2 linked regions of the Notamacropus eugenii genome follow. The protein of the gene in region 1 binds, or shares a complex with, the protein of each later gene. Links are inferred from orthologs where the notes say so. Each region holds a gene or a part of one and is shown on either strand. Other genes may lie near its edges.

What was found.
Region 2: the proteins of BCAR1 (region 1) and SH2D3C are in contact, whole or in part, in a crystal structure (PDB 3T6G), measured with the Homo sapiens proteins. The link is inferred for Notamacropus eugenii from reciprocal best matches to the Homo sapiens genes BCAR1 and SH2D3C. Residues at the interface, in NP_055382.2 of Homo sapiens: Ser739, Gln742, Phe746, Tyr747, Gln750, Asn754, Val779, Ser782, Lys783, Ile786, Leu787, His790, Val793, Phe794, Ile795, Asp797, Thr798, Arg801, Gln802, Ser816, Asn817, Cys820, Leu823, Arg824, Val827, Lys831; in NP_733745.1 of Homo sapiens: Thr543, Val544, Pro545, Val547, Gly616, Val617, Arg618, Glu622, Thr625, Leu626, Pro627, His628, Leu749, Leu752, Leu753, His771, Gly772, Val773, Glu774, Val776, Leu777, Leu780, Glu781, Ala783, Arg784, Ala787, His788.

Annotation. Positions count from the first base shown.
Region 1 is NC_092872.1:712,916,304-712,920,208, forward strand, and holds the start of BCAR1 (breast cancer anti-estrogen resistance protein 1), read left to right. Parts: upstream 1-1,658; 5' UTR 1,659-1,921; coding exon 1,922-1,933; intron 1,934-3,905. UniProt on the Homo sapiens protein: Docking protein which plays a central coordinating role for tyrosine kinase-based signaling related to cell adhesion. Implicated in induction of cell migration and cell branching. Involved in the BCAR3-mediated inhibition of TGFB signaling.
Region 2 is NC_092872.1:479,038,767-479,042,671, reverse strand, and holds the start of SH2D3C (SH2 domain-containing protein 3C), read left to right. Parts: upstream 1-1,402; 5' UTR 1,403-1,552; coding exon 1,553-1,589; intron 1,590-3,905. UniProt on the Homo sapiens protein: Acts as an adapter protein that mediates cell signaling pathways involved in cellular functions such as cell adhesion and migration, tissue organization, and the regulation of the immune response.

The sequences.
Region 1 (3,905 bases):
CCATTTTACAGTTGAAGAAACTGAGGCAAACTCAGTTAAGTGACTTGCCCAGGGTCACAGAGGTAGTAAATATTGAAGGCCAGGTCTTCCTGATTCCAAGTCCAGTCACTATTTATGCCATGTTGATTTGATTACTGTTTCTAGACCAAGAAGTGAGAAGGTGGGTGGGTGGATGAGTGAGGATGCTTTGGAATGGCAGAAAGAGGGTGTTAGCAACTCATAAATCCTGTCCATCAAGCCTGGGAGGAATTGCCGTCTCCAGGAGAGGAAGGAGTTCCCTGACTGGATGAAATCAGAATGCTTAATGGATTTACCCATGAGGAAACTGAGCCTTGGAGAGGCTAAAACAGCTTGGCACGGTGGAAACAACACTAATCGATCAGGTAGACAGTTTATGTTTAAATCTTCCTTCCTTTTCCACAAACGTCGTGGACAGTTCCTCCAGCCCCCTTCCCATAATCTGGCAACAACCCAGCCAACTTTTGTCTTAGTTCCCTATTGATCTAATCTCCTAGGGCTCTATTCACCAGCCTAGGAACATCTGGACCAAAGAGCCCCTCCCTGGGAGCATCAATCTTCTAGAGGGGTTGTTTACTGTATTAGAATATAAACTCCTTGAGGACAACAGGGACTAATTTTGTAAGTGTAATCCCAGCCTTTAGCTTAGTTCTGGGCACATAGAAAACAATCATCCCCCCTTCCCTCCTTCCCTTCCTTTCTTCCTTCTTTCCTCTGCTGGCTGTACTCACTTCTGTGACCTTGGTTGAGTCACCGCCTCCACGAGATAGCGGTCCCTTCTGGCTGTAGATCCAAGCCTCCATGACCTTAAGTAGACTTGGCATAAACACTGAATTAAGAAGAGAAGGCTCCCGAATCAATCTCAGGTCCTCTCATTATTCCCTAACTGCCTCTCCAGTCCGCTTTCAACCTCCACAAAGATTGATTAAGCGTTTACTATGTGCCAGGTGGAGGCTAGCCACCCCGCCCCCCCACTCCCCCTCGTGCCTGGACAGTGGTGCGGGGTCTTCAGCCCTGGTAAAATCTCTCGGATGGATTATCCACCCTTCCCGCGAGTTTACTCCGTCCTGAGAACTGCGAATACAAAGAGAGGCACAAATACAGCCCCTGCCCTCAAGGAGCTTATTTTCTAGCGGAGAGACGATGGGCACACCGCGGTCACCTACGAGATCTAGACTGCAGTGTGAATGGGAGGCGATCTCCTAGCGCCTCAGCCTGTCTCGGGAGCCCCTGAACCTCAGGGAGGGTGTCGGGGGCGGGGTGAAGCAGTCCCCTGAACTCGCCTTGGGCCGACAGAAAAAACCGGGGCCGGGGTCCTTCCCTTTAACGCAGCCCTGAGCTCTGAGAGAGGAGGGGAGGGAGAGAGGGAAGGAGGAGGAGGAGAGGAGGAGGAGGAGGAGGAGGAGGAGGAGGGGGCCGAGCAGCAGCGCCTGCGCGCGGGGGCAGCCACAGCCGAGTGGCACCGACCGGCTCGGGCTGCGTGCGCCCCCGGCCACCCCGAGCTAGCGGCCCGGCCCCAGGCAGCGGGCTCCCTGCCCCCGCTGCCCCCAGGAGTCCCGGCCCCCGCGGGGCGGGGTGGGGCGGCTGGCCCCGGCCCCGAGGCAGCGCCAGGGGCGGCTGCGGAGCGCGCCCCGGCCCGGCCTAGCCCCAGCCCCAGCCCCAGCCCCCGCCTCCGGGGACGAGAGCCTCGGGATGCGCCCCGGTGCCTCCGCGGGGCTCTGAGCGCGGGGCCCGCCCGGGCTGCCCCGAGCCGAGAGGCCGCCACCGCCCCGCAGCAGCCGCCCCGCCACGCGCCCCGCAGCTGCCCCGGCCCGGGGATCCGGGCCCCCGCCGCGCGCCCCCAGACCCCGCGGGAGGAGAGCGAGCCGAGGAGCATCCCCAGCCCTTGGCGACGGCCGCCAAGATGTCTGTGCCGGTGAGTACCGCGCCCGCCGCCGCCGCCTTTGTGCCAGGCTCTCCGGAGGGGCGGAGCGGGGAGCGAGGGGACCCCAGGAGCCGGGCTGCCGGCGCGTGCCGCCCTCCGGGGACCTGGCAGCCGGCCTGGGCAGAGCGCGCGGGGCCCTCCGGGGAGAGTGCCGCGGCTTTGAGGGGCGATCTCCCCGTGTCGCCCCGCTCCCGAAATGATCCGAGAGGGGGCTTCTTCCTCCTGCTCTGGGGGCTTTGCTTTTTTGGCTCCCGAGACCGTGAGGATGGAGAGCGGGGTGGGGAATCTAGACACCGACATGGGGCCGCCACTTGACAGCAAAATGGACAGCTAGGAGACCCGGGGAAAACTCTCCGGCCTTGCCAGATGGCTCTGCCGTCAGACTTTTCCTCCTGCTGGATAAAATTCCCCGGAAACTTTGGTTAAACTTCTCCGAGCTACTTGGTCTTTCCCCCTTCTCTCTCAGTCCCTTTCTTCCCTTCCCTTCCAGCTGCCTGGCCCCTTCTGAGTTTCCAGTTTAGGCTGGGCTTTGGTTTGGCTAATGTCTGGGTTGTCTGCCCAGTCGGTGCTGATGGTGCCAGCTGCCCTGGGCCATGAGCAGTTCTTTTCCAAGGCCGGGCCCCAGCAGGGGAGTGCTAGGGAGACACCAGATCAGCAGGTTCCTGGCCTGAGCGGGTCCCCCACTCTTGGGTTCTGTTTACTACAATGAATGGTCCTTCTCACCTTTGCCACCTGGGACAAGACTCAGTGGGCTGGGAGAGGGGAGGTGTCTACGCTTCAGGGTGATCTGGAAAACAAAATCTTGTGAGCCTGTGCATGAGTTAGGAGCTTTATGGTGGTGTGGCTGGTGGGGAAGGTTTTAATCCAAGCCAGTTCTGAGGTTTTTATTCCCCTCCTCCCCCAGGGGAGGGTTGGGGTGAGGAACGACTTTTCTCCATGGAAAGAGATCCACACCATCAGAGGCAGATATTGAAAATGAGGCCAGTGGGGGAGAAAAAAGCAAAGCTAGGGAAAGGTGATTAAATCTATTTCACAGTTCAAGGCACATCACTAACCGACCTAAGTATCATGTTTCTTTCCACTAGCAGGTAGGAAAACATTTCTCTGCTGGTCCAGTGCTCTTGAGACTTCTGTGGCAAACTTAGCTGCTCTGTAGTCTTACTTATGGAAAGCCAAGGCTCAGTTTCCCCTAATTCCTGACCCTTTTCTCCCTCTCTCAGGAGCTGCTGTCATTAGGTCTCCTTACCAGTTTGGGGAATAACTATTATGGCTCCAAGATCCAAATCCTGTCACATAAAGTAGTTTTTCTGTGGCCTCTTCCAGGGCTCAAGTCATAGGACCTTGAAGGTGTTTCTGTGGTACCTTGGGCCCAGCTGTTAGTTGCCTTACAAGGCTCCCCATAGTCACATAGCATCCCATTTTCCAGACTGGTAAACTGATAAGGCAAATTCCCACAATATTGCTCCCACAGGGGGGATTGCTCTGTGTGTTAGAGTGAAAGGACACTGAAATTCCAGTTCTGGAACATCCTTTCTTTGTGACCTTGAGCAAAATCCCTTTACCTTAATAAGGCCTGTTTCCTCATCCTTACCTTCAGGTAATACCTACAGCTTAGGTATTATGTCCAGGAAGCTTTCTCTCTTTCCTCCAGTTGTTAAGTTTTTCTCTTTCCTTCAATTACCCTGTATTTATTTATTTATCTGGGTCATGTTGTACATTACCTTAGGAGAATGTAAAACCCCTTGAAGACAAGATTTTTTTTTCTGTTCTCAGTATCTAGCAAGTAATAGGCTCTTAATTAATGTATGTTGAATTGAATCCGTGGAATGGAGGAAAGGAGGAGTGAAGAAATAAGGGTTGGACTAAGTCATCTCTAAGGGTCCCTTCCAGCTATGATGTCACAAATTTGGGCATCTCATCTGAGTCCCTAGCCTCTCTTGCCCCATATTTAGTCAAGAAGACA
Region 2 (3,905 bases), about 230 Mb from region 1:
TTTCTTCCTCCCTGGGACATTAATTCTCTCCTCTTAGGATCTGATTGGCAGGTGATTGGAAGGTCCCGGTTTTCTCCCCAGATGTTTTTCCAGGCTTAGGTTTTAGTTTCCACTAAGATGTTTGCAGTCCAGGTGCATGCAGGTGATTTTGAGAAGCAAATGGTGGAAAGTTTTCACTTCCTCATTTCTGTCCTGTTAAAGGCTGTAAGTTCCACTCTGGATGGGGAAGAAAGATTCTAAGTATGATGGAACCGATAGTCAGACCACTCCCCAGAAGGCCAGGTCACCAGGCTGGAAGTAATTTCTCCTCTCTAGGCCTCAATTTCCTTATTTGTAAAAATGAAAGACTTAAGCTAAATGATTTCTAAGGTCTCTTCCATCTTGATAACCTGGTATAATGGAAAAGTGATTGGATTTAGAGTTAAGACAGACTGGCTCTCAGTACAGGCTACCTGTGTGATCTTGGGCAAATCACTTCAATTTCCCTGGGCCTTGGTGGTCTGATCTGTAGAAGGAGAAGTTTGAAGAAAGGATTTCAAGGTTCCTCCCAGTTCTTAAATCTATGATTCTATAATTCCTAAGGACCTTTAGTTCAGGGAGTCAACCTTTTTTACATCATTGACCCTTTGACAGTATGGTGAAGCCTATGGACCCTTTCTCAAAATAATGTTTTTAAATGCATAAAATAAAATATATAGGATTACCAAGGAAATCAATGATATTAAAAATAAAGGTTTTTCTCTCTCCAAGTTCACAGACCTCCCCCCTCCCCTCCCAACTCCCCCTCCTCAAATCTAACCACAGACCCCATGGACCCTGGGTTAAGAAGTCCTGGTGTAGTGTGTGTTAATTCCCAGGAGAAGAGCCCAAGTTAGCCTTGAGAGCAGAGGCTGGGAAGGCAGAACACCTGAATTTTCATGCCATCTTAGTTAATTCTGAGAGAAAGAAGCTGTTAGTTTCCATCCTTTGAGCTTCAGATTTCTTCCCACTCAGATGAAACTGTTGATCCAAGATTCTGGCCGTCTGGTCTTTTCCCATGAATTCCCATGAGTTTGGGGAGCTTCTGAAGAGCCCCCTCCTCTTATTCCCAGGGGTTGGACACTCCACTCCCCCCCGACCCCACCCCCAACAGCAGGACCAGGCGAGCTGTAATGGCTAAGGATGCCAAAGCCAGGTTCCCAGACCCTGTGGTTACTCCTGGGTCCTTTCCAGGCCCTGAGGATGCTGCGGTCTCTTCTACTCCCTCCCCTTCTGCTGGCCCAAGCCGAGGAGGCTGCCCGGGGGAGGCAGGCAGGGGCCAGGGGCTGGAGGAAAGGTCTAACTCCCCTCCCCCCCTTCCCCTGCTGAGAGGGTGAGGAGGGTGGAGCTGTGGGAGTTTCACTCTGTTTAAAAATACACAGAGGAAGCGAGCTGAGAAAGTGAGAGAGCCAGAGAGGGGACAGGGAGAAAAAGGGGAAGGGGCTGGCCGGAGTAGGGGGGCTCCCATGAGCTGATGTGAAGACGTTCAAGAGAGGCTTCTGCTCATCTCTGCATCTCTTCTCGGCCTTCCAAAATGACGGAGACTCCCAAGAAGACAGGAAAAAAATTCAGTGAGTGTTGGGGTCTTTCTCATTCTCCCCTTTTGTTATTCAGGGAGGGGAGTTTGAGTGTGTTCAGTTCCAAACGCTACCAAGGGCTTCCCCCTGTAGTTGTTTGCATGATGTCTGCCTCCCTCCCTCCTGCAAAGACTAAGGTGGCTGTCTAGTCAGCTGCCTCATGGCCCAGGTCACAGGAGCCCAGATCTAGCACAGGAAGAGATCACAAAGGTCATCTGATCTAATTCCCTCTTTTACAGCTGAGGAAACTCAGGTTAAGTGACTTATCCAAGCTCACACTGATAATAACTGGTAGAAACTGAACCCAGGTCCTTTAGCTAACAAGCTATTTTTCTCTTGACTGTAGAGTTGGGGACTACAGAGGCAGAATGGAGAGGTAGTGGATGGCTCATGATAGCCAGGAGCCAGATTTGGGGAGAATTCTGTCATGAGCTTTTTATGGCCACTATAAACTCCTTGAGGGCAAGGAGGTAGTCTGTATCATCTCTGTATCTCAAGAGGCCTTAATATGATGTCTTGCTAGCAGTTAAGTACTTGCTCAGTAAATAATAGTTGGTTGATTGAATTTTTTAGTTCAGTGCATTTTACTAGCCGTACTCTGAGTGTCTACTCTGTGCCTAGCATGGTGCTAAATTTTGTTGGGGATATACAAATTGTTAAGACTCAGTCATGCTCTCAGAGGAGGTAGAATATATCCACAAATCACCAACTACAACCTGGGAGATGCCATAAGAGGGGTAGCAACCACCACCACCACCACCACCTCCACCAAAACAAATGGGCTTAGAGAGCTCAGAGGAGGAAGCATCCTGAATCTGGTGGGAGTGCTAGGGAAAGTTTCAGAGGGAAAGTTTCAGAGGGAAAGTTTCAGAGGGAAAGTGGCCTTTGACCTTGACCTTATAAAATATGTAGGAGACAGGGGGTAGAGGTAAAATTACAGAGACAAAGAGGATCTCCCCTCCCTTCTAAGGATATAGTAACCTTACTATAAGGTAGTAGAGGGGACTCTCCCTCCGAGCCCCAGTGCCCTCCCTGCCCAGGACTAGGTTCCTGGTCTCCTTGGTTTCCTTCAAGTCCCAGGTAAAATCAAGAAGCTCTTCCCAATTCCCCTTCATTTTCAGCCAGTGCCTTCCCTCTGGTGATTATTTCCAACTTATCCTGTATGCATCATGTTTGCATATGATTGTCTGTATGTTGTCTCCCCCATGAGATTGTGTTTTTTGTTTTTTGTTTTTGCCTTTCTTTGTAACCCCAGAGCTCAGTAGAGTGCCTGGCACACAGTAGGCACTTAAATGCTTGTGAACTGATGGTTGATCCCAGGTAGCAAGTACCTTCCCAACAGTCCCTCCCCCTCCCCCATGGTGGATGATCTCTCCCATTCCTGGGCTTGTGTAAGCCTCCAAAAGGTCATGGATGCCTAGCTTCCCCTCTGATAGACAGGACCATTAGGCTCACAGGGCCAGCCTCCCCACAAGGTCTCGCTGGACAGAATCATCAGCCTGGCGGTCATCTGATTGAAATGTGTATGTTTTTGGTGGGGAGGAGGTCAGAGACCCCTCTTCCCACTTCCCTGTAGTCTTATTGGGAGAGTTTGCCCTCCATCGGGTTAGTCACCCCTCCCCCACTTTTCTATCCACCCCTCCCCAGTTACCCTTCATCTCCTCCTCATAGAGTTCTTTACTTCCCTGATGCTGCTCACAAATACTGTCTTACTTTAAGGTCCCGATGGTCTGCCACTTCCTCTGGGAAGCCTTTCTTGATTCTCCCCAGCTATTAGCACACTTTCCATCCTGAAATAACTTTATATTTACTTTATCTCAGTCATATCCTTTCAGCAGAAAGTAAGCTCAGTCAGGGCAAGGATTTTCTTTTTTCTTTTTGTATCCCCAGCACCTAGCATATGATCTCGTGCAAAGAAATGTTTGGCAAATTGAATGAATCTACACGATAGCCTGGTAAAGAAGGCAGGACAGATCTATTTTACAGATGAGGGATTTGAGGCCCAGAGAGAAGTGATTTACTGGAGGTCAAATAGTGATCTCCTTGGTCCAGGGCTCTTTCATTCCCTCCCAACTTTTGAACACCCGAGGAGCTGGGTTGACTTGGTATAGATTGAGATGAGTGTGTATGTGTACGTATTTGGTTTGTGATGGTTTTTGGACTCAGGGTGTGGTATGGCCAGTGTCATCCCCTGCTGAAGGCCAGAGCTGGGGATATAGAGGCCTGTGAGAACTGGTCAGCTTGGGTAATTCTTGGTGCTCTAGGGACAGAAAGGAAGCAGAAAATAAGGAGCTTGCCTCTGGCCTAGAT